Oryzias latipes: one gene and its partners. Each later gene encodes a partner of the first gene's protein in a complex. Links are inferred from orthologs where the notes say so. Each region holds a gene or a part of one and is shown in the gene's direction. Other genes may lie near its edges.

What was found.
Region 2: the proteins of ints11 (region 1) and ints4 are in contact, whole or in part, in a cryo-EM structure (PDB 7BFP), measured with the Homo sapiens proteins. The link is inferred for Oryzias latipes from reciprocal best matches to the Homo sapiens genes INTS11 and INTS4. Residues at the interface, in NP_060341.2 of Homo sapiens: Pro183, Trp191, Lys194, Asp212, Gln288, Gln400, Gln404, Lys462, Met465, Ala466, Leu469; in NP_291025.3 of Homo sapiens: Leu159, Asp161, Thr162, Arg167, Tyr203, Gln207, Asp244, Ser292, Gly294, Trp296, Arg299, Lys323, Met326, Ser327, Asp328.
Region 3: the proteins of ints11 (region 1) and brat1 are in contact, whole or in part, in a cryo-EM structure (PDB 8UIB), measured with the Homo sapiens proteins. The link is inferred for Oryzias latipes from reciprocal best matches to the Homo sapiens genes INTS11 and BRAT1. Residues at the interface, in NP_060341.2 of Homo sapiens: Leu9, Val15, Gly16, Lys27, Met35, His36, Met37, Gly38, Phe39, Arg43, Asp47, Tyr50, Thr58, Asp59, Asp62, His70, Leu71, Asp72, His73, Asp87, Gly88, Gln97, Pro101, Ile102, Glu105, Arg108, Lys109, Val112, Asp113, Lys114; in NP_689956.2 of Homo sapiens: Asp25, Thr27, Cys28, Glu30, Lys31, Asp34, Pro117, Ser156, Ser157, Leu158, Phe159, Ser162, Lys358, Ser359, Cys366, Arg367, Arg424, Arg427, Thr465, Lys468, Lys469, Trp514, Glu515, Asp518, Ser519, Glu522, Tyr560, Ser564, Ser604, Glu605.
Region 4: the proteins of ints11 (region 1) and wdr73 are in contact, whole or in part, in a cryo-EM structure (PDB 8R22), measured with the Homo sapiens proteins. The link is inferred for Oryzias latipes from reciprocal best matches to the Homo sapiens genes INTS11 and WDR73. Residues at the interface, in NP_060341.2 of Homo sapiens: Tyr206, Thr208, Thr209, Ile210, Arg211, Asp212, Ser213, Arg215, Cys216, Arg217, Glu218, Arg219, Asp220, Leu222, Lys223, Lys224, His226, Phe255, Arg258, Met259, Leu364, Val384, Glu385, Tyr386, Ser388, Lys418, Lys419, Glu421, Phe422, Gln425; in NP_116245.2 of Homo sapiens: Asp5, Asp6, Leu8, Val9, Ser11, Leu12, Tyr15, Gln16, Phe18, Tyr19, Ala20, Phe21, Asp22, Leu23, Glu50, Leu52, Arg59, Leu68, Phe69, Pro70, Glu71, Arg72, Asp73, Phe74, Lys75, Val76, Gly79, Phe81, Asp116, Ser117.

What each region holds. Positions count from the first base shown.
Region 1 is NC_019865.2:23,495,756-23,498,805, forward strand, and holds the end of ints11 (integrator complex subunit 11), read left to right. Parts: intron 1-603; coding exon 604-733; intron 734-2,210; coding exon 2,211-2,270; 3' UTR 2,271-2,495; downstream 2,496-3,050. Other genes in the region: lysophosphatidic acid receptor 4-like, read right to left, coding at 2,739-3,050.
Region 2 is NC_019871.2:2,461,023-2,465,318, forward strand, and holds the start of ints4 (integrator complex subunit 4), read left to right. Parts: upstream 1-1,471; 5' UTR 1,472-1,549; coding exon 1,550-1,603; intron 1,604-2,501; coding exon 2,502-2,696; intron 2,697-3,032; coding exon 3,033-3,150; intron 3,151-3,260; coding exon 3,261-3,367; intron 3,368-3,545; coding exon 3,546-3,660; intron 3,661-3,778; coding exon 3,779-3,864; intron 3,865-3,969; coding exon 3,970-4,020; intron 4,021-4,296. Other genes in the region: uncharacterized protein LOC105355351, read left to right, coding at 1-58, 362-713. UniProt on the Homo sapiens protein: Component of the integrator complex, a multiprotein complex that terminates RNA polymerase II (Pol II) transcription in the promoter-proximal region of genes.
Region 3 is NC_019859.2:21,374,022-21,378,259, reverse strand, and holds the start of brat1 (BRCA1-associated ATM activator 1), read left to right. Parts: upstream 1-1,424; 5' UTR 1,425-1,956; coding exon 1,957-2,083; intron 2,084-2,903; coding exon 2,904-3,052; intron 3,053-3,137; coding exon 3,138-3,285; intron 3,286-4,214; coding exon 4,215-4,238. Other genes in the region: eif3b (eukaryotic translation initiation factor 3 subunit B), read right to left, coding at 1,312-1,414. UniProt on the Homo sapiens protein: Component of a multiprotein complex required for the assembly of the RNA endonuclease module of the integrator complex.
Region 4 is NC_019874.2:25,858,665-25,862,986, reverse strand, and holds the start of wdr73 (WD repeat-containing protein 73), read left to right. Parts: upstream 1-1,466; 5' UTR 1,467-1,665; coding exon 1,666-1,724; intron 1,725-2,023; coding exon 2,024-2,091; intron 2,092-2,278; coding exon 2,279-2,364; intron 2,365-2,448; coding exon 2,449-2,537; intron 2,538-2,750; coding exon of another isoform or gene 2,751-2,754; coding exon 2,755-2,822; intron 2,823-3,898; coding exon 3,899-4,063; intron 4,064-4,162; coding exon 4,163-4,322. UniProt on the Homo sapiens protein: Component of a multiprotein complex required for the assembly of the RNA endonuclease module of the integrator complex. Associates with INTS9 and INTS11 in the cytoplasm, stabilizing the INTS9-INTS11 heterodimer and blocking the active site of INTS11.

The sequences.
Region 1 (3,050 bases):
GAATGAACCGATATCGACTATGAATCGTATCTTCAACCACAGATAAGAATCTAATCATTGTTAAAATGAATCGTGACACCCATCTTAATTGCATCAAGGGTTGAAGAGTTATGGTAGTCAAAAGAATGTAAACGCTGGAGATGTTTCCCCACCTGGTTCCAAAGAAAATCCTGGAGAGTTCTAAGTTACAGCCAGCAAACCTGTCCTTCCTGAGGCTCACTGAAAATGTCTAATGGAAGAGGAAAAAAACGTTTTGGTCCTGAAAAACCTGAGAACTGGAAGCTGTTTTAATCAGGAATAAGTGAAGACAAGCTGCCAGAAGCAGTTGTGAAGCTTTGCATGGAATCTGCTGCACATCAGTCCTAAAGACACTCTCCAATTTGGAATAAATAGTTTTCCCTGGAGTCATCAAAAGCAGCATTTGGGTTGTATGTCCAAAGAAAAACACAGAAAAGGAAAGCATTAGCCATTTATAGCAGCTGATTTTGTTCCTTTTTTAATTTCTTGAGCTTAAAATTCTTACATTTTAGCTGTGAATGTAATTTAGAGTCTGGTTGGAAAAAGTTTGTTTGCAGAATAACATTCTGTAATCGTTTCCCTCAGCCTGTTAAAAGGTTACACCATCCAGCACCTCCCTGACGGCACGGTCATGGTGGAGTCCATCGTCATTAAAGTCTCCTCATCCGCCGAAGACGCAAACGCCAAAATCCTGCTGCTTTCCTGGAGTTATCAGGTACCTGAACATCAGCCGTTTACCGTAACCATCTCATTTGATTTACTCTGTTTCTTTCAGTGAAGCAACATAAAAAGAAAAAAGTTGATTCATGTATGAAAAAAGTTCAAAAAGTGTCATGATTTAGTTTATAAAGACAAGAAGTCCAGTGGGGGGGTTCCTCTTTGGGATCATTGACTGTAAATGAGAACTGGGCTGAGTAACCCCCCCCTTTTGTTCCAAACAGGAAGAAGTTCCAAAAAGCCAAAATCCCACAGACTTCTGTAGAGAAATAAACAGCTGTTACTCAGTCGTTCTATACCTTTTCTTTTTTTTTACATGTTCTTGCTACTCTTATTTTATTCCACGATATTTCTTTACTGCAAGTTACTCTAGTCATAAACTGGCCAATCAGATGGCTCAATAAACGCACAATGGCGCCTACTGGCCCCCACCTGAAATATTCAAAACAAATGATTGACAACTTCTCCCAAGCTCCCTTTCAGAGGACAGGGGACGTCCAACACGTTGTTGTCGACCCTCAATTAAATAAAACGTTTTATTGACCAGGGTTGACCTGCTGCACATTCTAAACAGTTATGGTTTTCAGCTGGAATGTTTCAGTAATTTATATAAAATTGATGAGAAGTTTTTCTCAGTGATGACACTGTGTATTGGGGAAACAAATTAAACTGAGGGGATGTCCAATCCAATCCAATTCAATTAAATTTTATTTATATGGCCCAATATTACAACAATCGTCGTCCTAATGGGCTTCATACCTTTAATTGTAGAAGAACATGAAATCAGTCGTAGCATTCAATAGGTAATGGTTAAGCTCAACTAAACAGACTAAGCTAAACTGGGCATCCTTCTCGGTAAGGAGATGACGCCGCTTTTCCTGATCGCACAGACTTCCTTTAAGGCAGGTGGCTCTGTCAGAAGCTATAAAACCATTGGTTTGTGTGCAATCTCTGTCACCCACAGTGGAAAGACGACACTTTCTGTGGCTACAAGTGTTCCATGCAGAGCACTGATGGCATGAAAAGCAAACACATACAGGCCTTTGTGTCTTTGAATGTTTTTCCTCTGCTAGCTCTGTGGTTTAACAGTGTTTTTAAATAGCCACTCTAATGAAGATTGTGTTTTTGGTGTTTTTGTTCTGTTCTTGTAGCATGATGGAGGGCATATATACAGAAAGTTACATTAAAATCTGGATTTCTAAGTATTTCTCTATGTATATTTTCTAATGAATTTATTAGGAATGTGGACAAAAAAAAATCAAAAATGTACTTTTGCCAATTCTTCTATCAGTCACATAAACCTCTTTGTCACCTTCAAACAACCCAAAAGTAAAACTGTTGCTATGGAGCTAAAACCAACAAATCAGCTGCTATTTTGAAAGAAATGGTCTGTTGGGAACGCCACTTGTGGTTTTAATTAATGTGTATTTACATTTTTGTATGGGTTTCAAGAAGAACTGCATTTCTCTCACCAGGATGAAGACCTCGGGAGTTTTCTCTCATCGGTGCTGAAAAAGGGACTTCCAAAAATGTGACAAGAAAGTAAACGTCTTGAGTTCTTTTTGTTTTTCTTCTTCTTAAAGGCTACAAACGCCTAACTGGCACCCAAAAACTTGACTTCTTCAATGTAAATAACATCAATCCATTGCTCTTCCTTTGTAAACAAGCTTGTCTCCCTGTATGGGTGGATTAAACAATTTAGAGGCAGAAATTGTTTTATTTTGAAAAGTCACCATTATTAAACGCTTCTTTTTATATTATATCTACTTTTTGATTCCTTTAGAAAGGTTTACAGTGCTGTTCTTACATGATTAATGGTGATGCCCCTCCCCCCCCCGTGATTTTGTGTTTCCATAATTGTGCGAATAGGCGGGACAAACAAGCCTCTCTGACGTGAACTTTGTGTTATCTACCACCTAGTGGTTATTTGATGAACTACCCTTGGTTCCAATAACTTTTATTTTGAAATGTGATTTGATTCAGAAGTCAGTGTTGCTCCCTGGTCATTGCCCCTCACTGATGGTGATGGTGTAGATGCCCCTCCTCCTGCTCACCATCCCCCACAGCCACGTTGTCTTCAAAGCCTTCCAGCTGAAGTGGTTGGTGGTCATGTAGTAGAGGACAGGATCCAGGCACGTGTTGAGGGTGACGAGCGCCATGGTAACCCGCCGCGCGTTGTAGATGGCATTGCGGGCGGAGCAGTTCTGAATGATGTCCATGCGCTGCAGGAGGTGCAGCAGGTAGATCACGTGGTAGGGCAGGAAGCAGAGCACCGTGATGGCCAGGATGGCACTTATGACCTTGATGGCCTTCTG
Region 2 (4,296 bases), on another chromosome or scaffold:
GCAGTTTTAAGCTACGCTGGTTAGCAGAAGAGGGGACAGAAATGGACAATCACAGCAGGTTGGAAAGAAAACATTCTTTTGCTTTTGATACTTTACAACAAAAAAAAATAAACTGAGCATAAACCTGGATTATGTTGAATATTTAAATAAATTAGGGGTGCACATAGACTTTTAGAGCTCAAAGAAAACAAATGTATGGATCCCTGAACTTAAGGAGAACTGAATTTTTATTTCTCAAGTTTTCTTTTTTTGTGTGACTTAAAATTGAAATGAATCAGTTTGATTATCTGCAGAAAAAAAGTAAATCTGTAATTCAGGCTTTGAAATGAGAGTCACAGCTGTGATCGTGCTTCTCCTCCAGGCATCAACTGACTGAAAGAACTCACTGCAACGCCACGCTGGTCCTGAATCTGCAGAAGGAGGACAACGGCAGGAGGTGGAGGTGTCAGGTGGAGACCAAGCCAGGCGAAATAGAGACTCATTGGGACTTCACCTCCTCCTTTTTGTTTGAAAACACCTCCTCCGCCCGTGTTCTGCAGCCTCCTGCTGACGGCTTGTGTTCCGTCCGGCTGCCCATCAGCCGCATTGTGTTGTGTGTGGCTCTGCCGCTCATGGTCGGCATCGTGGGATTGGTCACATGGGTGTCGGATAGAAAGAGGAACAAGATGTTAGCTGCTGCTCTGCAGCATGACACCATGGGAATCAATCACTGACCTTTGAGATGATGTTTCTCCCAATGACACTATTCATTTTCTTCACTCTTAAGCTTTTATTCCTAACTTAACAATCTGCACTTCAGCTTTCATCTGAGTACATTTTACTGTTTTTTTAGTTGTCTAGAAAAAAACTTGATATTTGAATGTAAACAGTGTAAAACTTTACAGGCCCTCATTCTCTCTATAATGGAATCATGTGTTTAAATTTAGAAATTTGTAGATGGTTTCAATATTTTGTTGTTAAATACTACCCCTGTCTTTCTTAAGGTAGCGCGGATTACTGGATTTAACTGTCTTAACTGAAGTGACTTATTTGTTTGAACACATGTTTATACAAGTCAGAGGAAATTTGTAAAAAAATACTTGTTTTTTTTTATCTTTATATGCAAACAATAAAAAATATCATCAGATTTTTGGCTATTAGTGCTTTTATTTTATTGTTCTTCTAAAGTTGCTTTATAAACATTTTGCTATTGTTTTCCAAATTAAAATATTTTATGGTGATTTCAAAGATGTTCTATTTCTTGGCTTGTTCTAAAATATTCATGTTTAATGCACATAATTCATTAATTTATTCGTATTCATTCGTATTAATTAATTTAATTCTAAAGTTAATATTTCTAGACAAGGAGTTATTTTTATAGGCCAAAGAAATATTTTAATATTTTATGAAAAAACTGAAGGGTGTCTTGGACATTCATAGACTGCGGACTACCCTGAGTTCTCCACTCCCGGCTTCCGTAGGAAAACAATGCATTTTCACAGCTACGGAAAGTGTAAGGGGACAATTCTGCGTTTTGAGGAAAGAATTGTCTGTGCGTACCTACTGAAACATGGCAGCACATTTGAAGAAGCGAGTGTACGAGGAATTTTCAAAAGTCGTTCAGGTAAACGTTATAATTGTTTTGTTCGTCAGCTTGTTTTTGTGCGCAAGACCTTAATATGAAGCTAAAAACTGCGCTTTCAAGCTAACAGGACCGTTTGCGCATGCTAACTGATTAGCTGACTGAACAGCAACAGGAACCCGTTGCAGCTTCAACAACTCAACACACATTAGAGTTTGTACATGTTTGGTGACTTCATTTAAGGTCAAGTTGTGGAGCTGACTTTCTTTAATGTCACAAATATTTGGCCAATTGCAGCCTAGCTAAAGTGGTTAGCATCTGATATAGCTATAGCAGTCGTTCAGCGGTGCTTTCAGATGTCCTCGGACTTTTATGTGTTTTCTCCTAAAATTTAACTCTTTTTAAGGCCCATTAACTTGGGAATCAGACGTGGTTCAGATATTGGTGGTCATCTCTATCAGCCAGGTTTTTTCCTGTATGTTCAGGAACTAGTAAGACAGAAATCCATTCTATTCATTAACAACATACCCACATATTCATTAAAACAGATTCTATTTTGATTTAAAATGTTGCAGAAATGTGACTTTATACTTTAACTGGTTGCTCTGTGAATCCTGTTCATGGCTATATGTGAAAAGCTCATCAGATTCAGAGGGGAACTGTTTTTGTTTTTTAAAGTTTTTGAGTATCTTTATAAAGCAGATTTTATGAAAAGAATCTAACTCTTTTTAATTAAATTGTTCTCAGATGTTGAGTAGGAAAGGATGTTTAGGTGGTAATAACACATGTTGAATATATTTTAAAAAATCATAAACATTGATCCTGTCTTTGCATTTTTTGTAATAACCTTTAATCATTTAAATAAAGATTGAAACGTTTTCTATGTTTTTTTTTTTGTTTTTTTTTGCATAAATAATCTTCACTGTCATCGTGTTTTCAGATTCCTCATGAAGAAGCTCCGGCCAAGAAGCTGCGTCTGTCCAAACCCAGCAAGTCTGCTGCGCTGCACGTTGACCTCTGCAAAGCCACCAACTCCACCGACGCGCTGCAGTACCTGCTGCAGTTCGCACGCAAGCCCGTGGAGGCGGAGAGCGTGGAGGGCGTGATCCGGATCCTGCTCGAGCACTACTACAAGGTAAACGATGATAATGATCAGCAACAATGTGATTTTTAGAGCCGCTATGACCCTGAGCAGGATTCCACAAGACAAGATGATGAATGGATGTTGGAGATGTGGGCGGGGCAATGGTCGTTCTTTGGAAAATAGATTTCTAAGATTTAGATTTGAATGTTTATTAGTATAAAATGTGAAAAGAAAGTTCTAGTTGCTTTTAATTTTATAGAGGCGTTACTTTTTATTCTTACTGTAACATTTCAATTGTTTAAATAGTTCTAGATAGTTTCTGAATATTAGAACTCGACACCTTTGTTTGAACCGAGAAATGCGTCACGCCAATGTGTCTCATGTCAGGAAAACGACAACTCTGTGAGGCTGAAGATCGCTTCTCTGCTCGGTCTGCTGTCCAAAACCCGGGGCTTCAGCCCGGACTGCATCTTTGATGACGCCATCAACACCCTCAGCAATGAGAGTGAGACACACTCCATCCCTTTTTATTTTCATCAGACCTCAACTGTCCTCTCTGTCGGCCTTTGTGGCTTCATGTTGCGTTCAAAGACCCTTTACTGTCTCTGTGGACAGACTCCCATCAAGTCCTCGCTCAGCTGTTGGGCACTCTGCTGGTCATCGGGACTCAACTGCCAGAGAGTCCTGCAGTCAGACTGAGGCTGACCGAGGTGGCCTGCAAGGTAGCACACACACAAACACACACTCACGGGCACACAAGCACACGCAAATGCAGATGCACTCACAGACATTTACATATATAAAAAGAACACACACACACACACCGATGCACGCACTCATACTCATGCATTTACATACACACATTCCAGCATCTGATAGTTGTGGTCGTCTCCTCTGCAGCATCTGTCTGATACGCACTTCGGGGTGAGGAACAAATGTCTGCAGCTGCTGGGAGGTCTTGGCGTGGCGGACGCTCCTCTGCTTAAAGACGGCGAGGGATCGAGCTCGTCTTCAGGTCTGAATGTCTTAAAGAGGAAACTCTGCAGGCTGTTCAGAGCTTTTCTTCTGAAGCATAACATGACAGCCGTTTGGGTCAGGATGGGTTCTTATTATGCCTTTGACTTGAACAACAGGAGCTGTGAGAGAAGTTCAGACCATCATCAGCGATTACTTCGCAGACCAGGACCCCAGAGTCCGCACCGCAGCCCTGAAGGCCATGGTAGGTCACAGCGGAGCATCTTTACCTGCCAAAAACCTCCACACCGGACGCTGAACAAAGATCCCACGAAGTGCATAACTAATCTGAAGACTTTGTTTGTTTCAGCTGCAGCTTCACGAGAGAGGAATGAAGATCCATCAGATCATCTATGAGCAGGTAGGAGCTCAGGTTTATAGTTTTCACATTTAGGTCAGATTCTGAGGGATTTGATGCTTTGGAACAGAAAACATGGAATCAGTGAAGAGATTTCAGATTACTAGGTTTCACTCACAGCTGAAAAATATGTTTATTTCTTTATTTAACAACTAGTTTTAAGATACTAATTATTTTTTAAGTGTTGCACCTTTCCAGCCAGTCAGAGGCCGGGCCCATATAAAAACATATGTAGTTCAAAGACGTAGGGGTTTTTGATTTATTTATTTTTTTACCTGG
Region 3 (4,238 bases), on another chromosome or scaffold:
AGGAATGTCTTTTACAAGTTTAGGTTAACAGAAAATGCTTCATTTTGTCCCTCGATTGTGGCTCTGTGGCTTTGAAGAACAATTTGAATAAATAATAGACTTGATATTTAAGTGTTTTCATTTATTATTAGATTTTTAAACTGTGGTAATCTTACATAAATAAAAATTCACTTATACATTTTTTAACCAATGGTGATATTAAACTAAATCAACAGCCACTGGAAGGTTTACCATTCCCCTAAATAGCAAACATCAGAAAACAAACCAAAATAATGGCAAAGGGTTGGATCTATTGTCAGAGTGGTTTATAATTGGAATTAGTTTAAACTCATATTCTTACCTTTTGTTTAGTTGCTGTTCAAAGACAAAGTTCTTTCAGTACATTTGCAGCAAGATCTTACTTTATACCGGATGCATTTTATTTTGAAAGGAATTTGTATGCGCTGCTGTCAAAAGGTATATAATAGTAATGTAACACTGTTATAATTATATTATTCCAATTTTTAAAGCTACTTTTTATGAATGAATGGCTTGATGGCCACAAAAAATGTGATTTTTTTCTTCTTTTTCTTTTAACATAAACAGAAAATAAACAGAAAAGTGAGGCTCTCACTGGGTTTTGGTGTAAAATAAACTGGACCATCATGTGCTTCTTTCAGCACTAAAGCTTGCAGACCCCTGATCTATCTGCTTCACTTCTTCCTTTAAGAGGTAGGTTCTTTGGTTAATCTGTAAATTACTTCTGCAAATGTAATCACCCAAGTTCAGTTTAAATAATCCTCCAGACAATTTTAAGTAGTCTAGATTATATGAAATCCATTTGGATGCTGTGTCTCTATGTGGTTAAAAAAAAATGTGAGCTTTGTTAATGCCATGAAGTATATTGTGAAATAACAAAAGAGCATATTTAATTCAAACCTTTCAAAATGTCACAACAAGACAAGAGTAGTGACGTAAATTCATCAATTTATATATTTGTCAAATTGACTTAAAAGACAACTAAAGATGCTAATTTCCCCTTTAACTCATCGACTTAAAAACTGACGGTATAGCATCTGGTATGATGACTGAATGAACGGCGTTCATGATCATGATAGACAAGAAAACCGATTGTTCGTGTGTTTCTTGGTTGATAAAACCTTCCAATTAACTCTGTCGAGACTAATACGGCTTAACTAGTCCATTCTTTCGCCTAAAGAAAATGTCAAACTGACAGCATCTGCAAATATGTCAAAAGCAACGGTCCGTCTAGCTTTTTAGCTAGCAGTTAGCAATAGGCCTACAGCCGGCGCTTTTCCTGCTAGCGCTTACCCTCATCCTCGACATCATCTACGAAGTCCTCCGGGTCGCTGAAGGAAGGCTCCTCCTCCTCCTCATACTCTGGGTCGTCCACCATATCAACTGTATTTCGCATTTAATGGGACTGCGGTTCTGAAAAACCTTTACAGAGGCGCAAAATCCCGGAAAATGAGAGGCTAACAACGAACGACCGGTGAGGCACCATGTGCGAAAATGGACGAAGAGGCGGAAACGTGACGCCGGAAGCGGGTCAGAGGCGCGTTTACGGACCATCGTGAAATCGCAAAGTTGTAAAACAAATGGAGGAGCGACAACAACGAATGCTCAATTAGATTTACTGCATCGAGATGAATACAGATCGAACGGTAGTAGAAGCTACTTTTGCTAGCAACATAAGGGGAGTCACCTGCCAGTAAATTGTTGAAAACTACTTCTTTTTTAGAGTTACTCGCAATATGTCTCAAATACTGACTACAAAATTGCCACATGAAAGTAATTCACTTTTTATCCATTTACTTTTATAAAGGTTTTTTGGTTTAGCTATATGATTTTCGCTTTTGATGAATTTCAATATCGACGATTCGAAGGTTTGAGTTAGTTATCGTGACGTGAGCTCCAAACTTGGTGTATGTTGGGTTTTCCCGGCCATTCTTCAGTATGGATGGAGACTGTGTGTCTCTCCTGCCGCGGGTCTGTGACGTTCTGGCGGCCCCGAGAAGCTCTTTGCCCGATGATACAAGCCTGGAAAAACTGCTGGACTGGTTCACAACATTCAGCAAATCGGGTTAGTTCTGGGAGCTGTTCCCCATACTACGAGTTCTTCCCAGCCAGTCTGGCGCAGTTTTCTTTGTTTATGTGAATTCAATTTGGCCGGGATATAATTTGCACATAAATTCCTGGAAATATTTGAAATTTAAAATTGAAGTACATTTAATAATTATTTATGAAGAGAAGTAGAAGTTCAGGTCCCATTAAAATCATCTTTTGATCAGTTGTAAAATACTTCCCAGTGGTCTTTCAATTATGATTATGCCTTTTTTGGTAACAATTTTAAAGGAAACTGTTATTTTTTTAAGGACATAGTTTCTGCAAAGCAGCAAAACCTCTTAGAAATTTGCATCTGAGTTGGCGGAAGTAAGCTTCTGCTGATTTCCCATCATCCCTTTGTTAACACTCTCTTCTGGTGGCTTACAGCCCCTCACAACCCCAACCTAACATTATCTGTGAAACAATAATAGCGAGCAATATTAAAGCTATCCATTTCCAGGCATACAATTTTGATCCAGATAGACATGGATTTCTTTGTCTGCATGTGGATGCATCAATGGAGCAGAGCAGGGAGCTTGTAGCCCACCCATCTCACTTACTGTGTTTCAAAAGATAGCTTTCTCTAACGACATTTTGTGTGCTCCTGATTCACAACGATTTGAATAAAGATATACTCAAAAAATGCCATTTTAGTTTTCTTTTGTTTATATATGTGTTCCATCATAAGAAAATTACTACAACAACACGTTAAAAAACCCCAAAACACTATTTTCACTGGAGTGGGTCTTGAATGTTTCTGTTATCACACTCTTTGACTGTGTCTCCTCCTGTTGAAGGCGTGTCTCTGCTGGAGGTCAACCCATGTCTGCAGGGCTTCATATCAACTGTAGTTTCCAGCAGAGCTGCAGAGTCCAGCATCATCTCCTTTGCCCTCAAACTCACTGGTTTAGTGGCTGCTGCTGAGGATGGCTTCAGAGCTCTCCAGGTAGGCCTCATATCTCCTGCATTTCACCAACATCACACAGCCATCCACAACACTGATAATGATGATGATGCTCTCGCCCCCACAGGCGAACTCTGTCCTGGACCTCGCCTTTAACCCTCAGCACTGGCGTGAAGATGGACTTTGGGATGATCCTTGCGTCCGCATCGGCTGGATTCAGGGCTTCAGCACAATGCTGCAGCACAGACAGGCTTTCAGTTTCTTTGTTCAAGCAGGTAACTCGTCATAAAAGCTGAGCTCTCTTCCAAACATGTAATGACCGTGACAATTTTTGGGCTAAAAGTCACTCTGGTGCATAGTAAATAAGATACTATAAGATAATAATAACAAATTCACATATAAGTTGCACTAGAGTAGAAGTTGCACTTTTTTGGGAGAAATTTATTTTACAAAATACGCGACCAAGAACTGAAATTTCATCCTGAAAGACAAATCATAGGGATGAAATAGACAACAAAAATAGACTGAAAATATGCACACGCTTCACTACTGTAACACGTAGCTTCATGAGACATTGGAGGAATTGAATAATCTAGTATATTGAACAATCGTTCAGATAACCATAACATAAAGAGCGCACTAAAAAATCAACTAAACTCACTATATCACTTAAAATCACTAAATCTGTTGAATTCTTCATTATCTGTGTCACTTTGGAATAATTCTGCCCAAGCCCGCCGTAGACTGAGCGGCCCTACTTCTTTAGCGTTGCTGTCAGTAGCAAATACTGATACACACCTACACTGCCCTCTAGTGGCTGTTAGTGGAAAAAGAAGAAATACACAAGCATATTTATTTAACCCTTGTGCTATCCTAGGCACAAGGGTTAAAACAAGGGTTAAAAAAAATCACGTAGAAGTCACATCCCCGGCCAATTATGCAAAAAAAATAAAAAATAAAACGCGCCTTATACGCCAAAAAATGTCCAATAGCTGTTTATTTTTCAATAGACAATTGTGGGATTTTGGCTCCTTGGAGCCAGTGGGTACTTCCTGTGAACTCAATCCAGTTATCATATATAGTTGATATAACTATACTGCGTCATGTTGCAGCAGGAAACAGTTGGAACTACAGATCTTATAACTTGATACCATCTTGTACTTCTGGTAGTGTCATCATCTCCCTTTAATGCTTCTTTCCTTAGACTCCATCAAGCCCCTCCTTCAGC
Region 4 (4,322 bases), on another chromosome or scaffold:
AAGATAACTTCACAAATTAACCTATTATTTATTCAAATGGTTATTATTTTTCTTCAATTCCAAAGAGCCACAATAGAGGGATAAGAGAGCTGTGAGGCTCTGGAGCCTCAGGTTACCATACATGCAGCTGAAAGTCTTGCCTGAACCGGAACTGCTGGGTTTTAGACGGCCTCAGCAAACCTGACTCCGTTTCTCATCTGTCAGAATCCAGGAAGAGGAGAATGACAGAGCTGCTGAAGAGGAGGAGGAAGAAAAGGAAAATAACAGCTGTGGCGATGGATTGCGGCGCGGCGTGGGCAGGAAACTGTCACTGGTCCATAAGGAGCAGCAACAGTGACTGGTATACTTAAAACTCAAAAACTCCTGTCGAAACTGATGTTTCCTTTCTGAGGAGGGACAATGAGCCCAGGTGTTCCCTCCTCAAAGACAGATAAAAGACGTTGAACCCCAGTCTCTGAACTCACCGGTGAATTGGACAATCACATCGGCTGTTGTGACACATTATTGTGATATCCTTTGGATAAACTTTGGATACACTTCATGGATCTACGCCTTTTTTTATTTTTTATTTTTACATTTTCCACTATGTTTTCACCCTATTTTTGCTTTGTTTGTAGATTTATACACTCTACATGTTTTGTCATAAAACATATAGAGTATGAAAGCGCTTTGAGTGACTTGAAAAGCACAGATAAATCCAATCCATTATTATTATTATTATATAAAACTGTTTGATCTAAAATTGGTTGTGATTTCTGCAGCAGAGAAATTAGATTATTGTGTGACATAATCAAAAATGTATTTGCGAAAAGAGAAGCTGGGGTTGTACTTAAAAGCATTGCAACAAGAGATCATTTTAAAGATAAATTAATTGAGAAAATTGTAAAGTAGAAAAAAAATTGCCCGGCCCACTAAGAATTAAACATTGGACTATTAAACTATTAAACTTGTCAGAAATATTATTAATTTAAAGCTGGGTTATCCAAAATCTAAAGATTGACTAAATTTGAGGTTGAGAATCACAATAAATACAATTACTGAAATATATATTGATTAGATTTCTCCCAATTAGATGTCATTATCTGATAAAGAATACCCAGTTTTTAATTTTGAATACTCACCTGAATAATTTAAATCTAAAAAAAAGTGAGATAAGAACTTGATTTTAGGCTTTCATAGAATCATTTCCTAAGTCAATACAACATCACAGTGCCTCAGAAAGAATTTTTGCTGGTTATTAGATCAATTCCAATACATTTATTTTCATCAAATTAGAATATCTTAATTAAAATCAAAATATGATTTTCATTGGGGAGGGGGGTATCCTTATTGATAAGAAGTTTACAAACATGTTTATTTTAGTATTTTTATTTAGCAGTCTCTTATTTTTTATTTTTATTTTAATTATCCTTTTTTATTTCATTTCATTGTTTTATGTTGGATTGACTACTTTGTAACAACATATTGTTAACATTTGTTAACACATTGATTTGTTCGAAGACATTTTGATTACTGTATTGTGTTTGGAAAATGAAAAAAAAAATCCTTTAGGTTTGCAACGTGGATGCAGTAACCCTCCTTGCCAGCAGGTGTCAGTATCGAGTTCACAGAAGAGTGAAAGCCGCAGACAGACTCCGGAAGCGCGGATTTTCCTGCAGCGGAGAGATGGAAGCCTCGGAGTTTGAGGATGTTTTGGATGAATGGTTTATAGAATCCTTGACAGCGTGAGCAAACTTCCCATCTGCATTCTGTCATCATGTTTAAAAGTCGTTTCATAAAATAAAATCCATGAAAATATTTTTTCTAAAATCCTAGAGAGGATTTGAAACAAACAGACCTTGAAACAAGTATCTTTGACTCACAGTCTCCATAAAATGTGTTAAAGTGTAGATTTAAAAATGGGATTGAAGCATATTCCAAAAACATCAAATGGGGAGCAATGTCTGAACTGTAGACACACACTCGCACATTTTCCTGCAGGGCTGATGATGTATCTACAGATGTCTGTGTTTCCTTCCTGCAGGTACAAAGATCTCCATGTTTATCAGCTGGAGCATCCCACCCAGGTCATCGAGTGGACATCTGGGAAAAGTGAGTGGAAAACAGGGAGTGCGTTTATGCAAAAAAGCATTTTCTACTTAAAATATTACTTTTTGCTGCAACAATGAGTATTTTAAAAAAATCTAAATTATGTTTTACAGCATTGACAAAGTTAAAGGACTTTCACTGCTCACAGGCTGGTCTGGCTCTTTTTTCTTCTTCTCTCCGTTCGTTTCAGCCGTTTGCGTGGCGGGATACGGTTCCTCCAAAAACCAGCTCTTGGAGCTTCGATTACCACTCAAGCTTTTTGCAGAAGAAAACAAGGTAACAGTGAAGAAGACAAAAGCTTTTATAGTGAAGCGCCGTTTCCAGCTGTCTCTGAACTTTTGTCCCATTTGCTGAGTTCAGGGTCTCTGTGCAGAGCGGGATTTCAAACTTCTCCATGGTGGTTTCTCAGACGGGCCAGTTGGCTGCCTCAGACATATCCCAGCATCCAGGTGAGCTCAAACATCTGTCTTCTCAGACAGTCAGTTTTTCTTCCTCCTGCTCAAACCTGAACTGTTTTCTGAAATGGGTTTTTGATTTCTGGAAAAACTAGCATTGAACTAGTTTGGAGTTTTGAATCAGACTCTGAATGTGTGACTTTCCTCACACCAAACAAACTTCATGAGGAGTTGAATTAATAAAGGTGACTACTTCTTTCTTTTGAGGCAGACTGATTGTGACCAATGATGGACAGGGGACTGACCTGCAGGTGTGGGACCTTGGAGGAGATGACAGTGGTGAGATTTATGTTAAATATTCTCTCTTGTAGCGTGAATTTAAAAGTTTAAAAATTTAGTTTCTCATTAAACTTAAAAGGGTTAAACATTTCCAATACTGCCACTGACGTACTCATCCTCCTTTGGAGGAGGAAAAATCTTCATTTCCCCTCCTTCCCTGAGAAAAACTCTGACAAAATAAGCCAGATATATTAAACTTTAATACCATATCAAAATCTTAAACATTCCTGCTGCTAGAGAATATAAACAAATTAAATGAAGGATTAATTACTTTGAAGAACAATAACATTGAACCTATGTGCAAAAACTTGTGTTAATGGCTTCAATGTGCCTGCTTTGTGCCACAAATCTTTTCAAGACGAGGTTGCAGGTTTTCTTACTTCGACTCTCGAGTCCTGCTCAATATTGAGCCTAGCTCTGTTCTTTATTTTCCAAGTGGCAACAGCAGAAAAGTCGATCTCACAAAGATAGGACGTAGAATGGAAGCAGAACGCCCAAAGTCTTCTGCCCCATGAGTGGATGCTCCCTCTCCACACCCAGCCAGAACTCAGGGAGTATCTGTGCTGTAAACCTCATCCTCAGGGGGGAGTCTGACGTGATTTCAATGAACTGATCCTCCTCAGCAGAGCTCAAACCAGCAGCTGCTGCTGCGTGAAACGGATCTCTCAGCCAGTCGTATTGAGATCTGTTGTCTGGGAAATATTTGAGAAAGAATCCTGGCAAAGAAAAAAAGGAATAAAGTGAATGATCCTTTTTATACAAAGTAGAAATAAATTAAATAAAGGATCATTAACTTTGTATGTTCTCAAACTGTGGGGCGTGCCTCCCTTGGGGGGGCGCTGAGGCATTACATCCATTATACATGCTTTTCTCCATTCTTCAACAAATTTGATCAGAGTTGCAGAGAAAGGCAGGTGAGGGTATCCAAACCGTACCGGTTGCATGTGCGAAATGCGTCAACGTCCGGGCCGCATTACCGTTCTTTTAAGACGTTAAAATCTGTGTCTGAAAGTTTGAGTTTAGTTCCTTCTCCGACGGTGATTGGCTGTCTGCTGCGTCTCTTCTTCCATCTGCAGACGTGATCAGAAGAACAGGAACTGTCAAAGGGAGGGAAAGCGCCCAACAGTGTGGAAGCAGGATTGCAGCTTCACCGTCTTCATCGCCTCAAGTCCTTCATGGAGCAGAGAGCGGCAGTGTCCAGCTGACTCAGCTGACTTCAGGACAATCCCTTTATAAATTAGGTCAAACTGTGGAAACTGGAATGTAAACAAAATACATTCATGCATCAAGGTTTGTAGAAAATCAAACTGATTTTTCCCTTCCATTTTTCCCTTAAACAGAGACCGACACTTCAGATCCTCTGAACTCCTTACAGTTCACGAGTGATGCGGTTTTCCTCGCCGGATGCTCCAACGGGAGAATTTACATGGCTGACACCCGAGTGTCCGCCGCTCCTCAGATGTCACCTCCGCCTGCATCTTCAGGTCAGTCCGCCGTCTG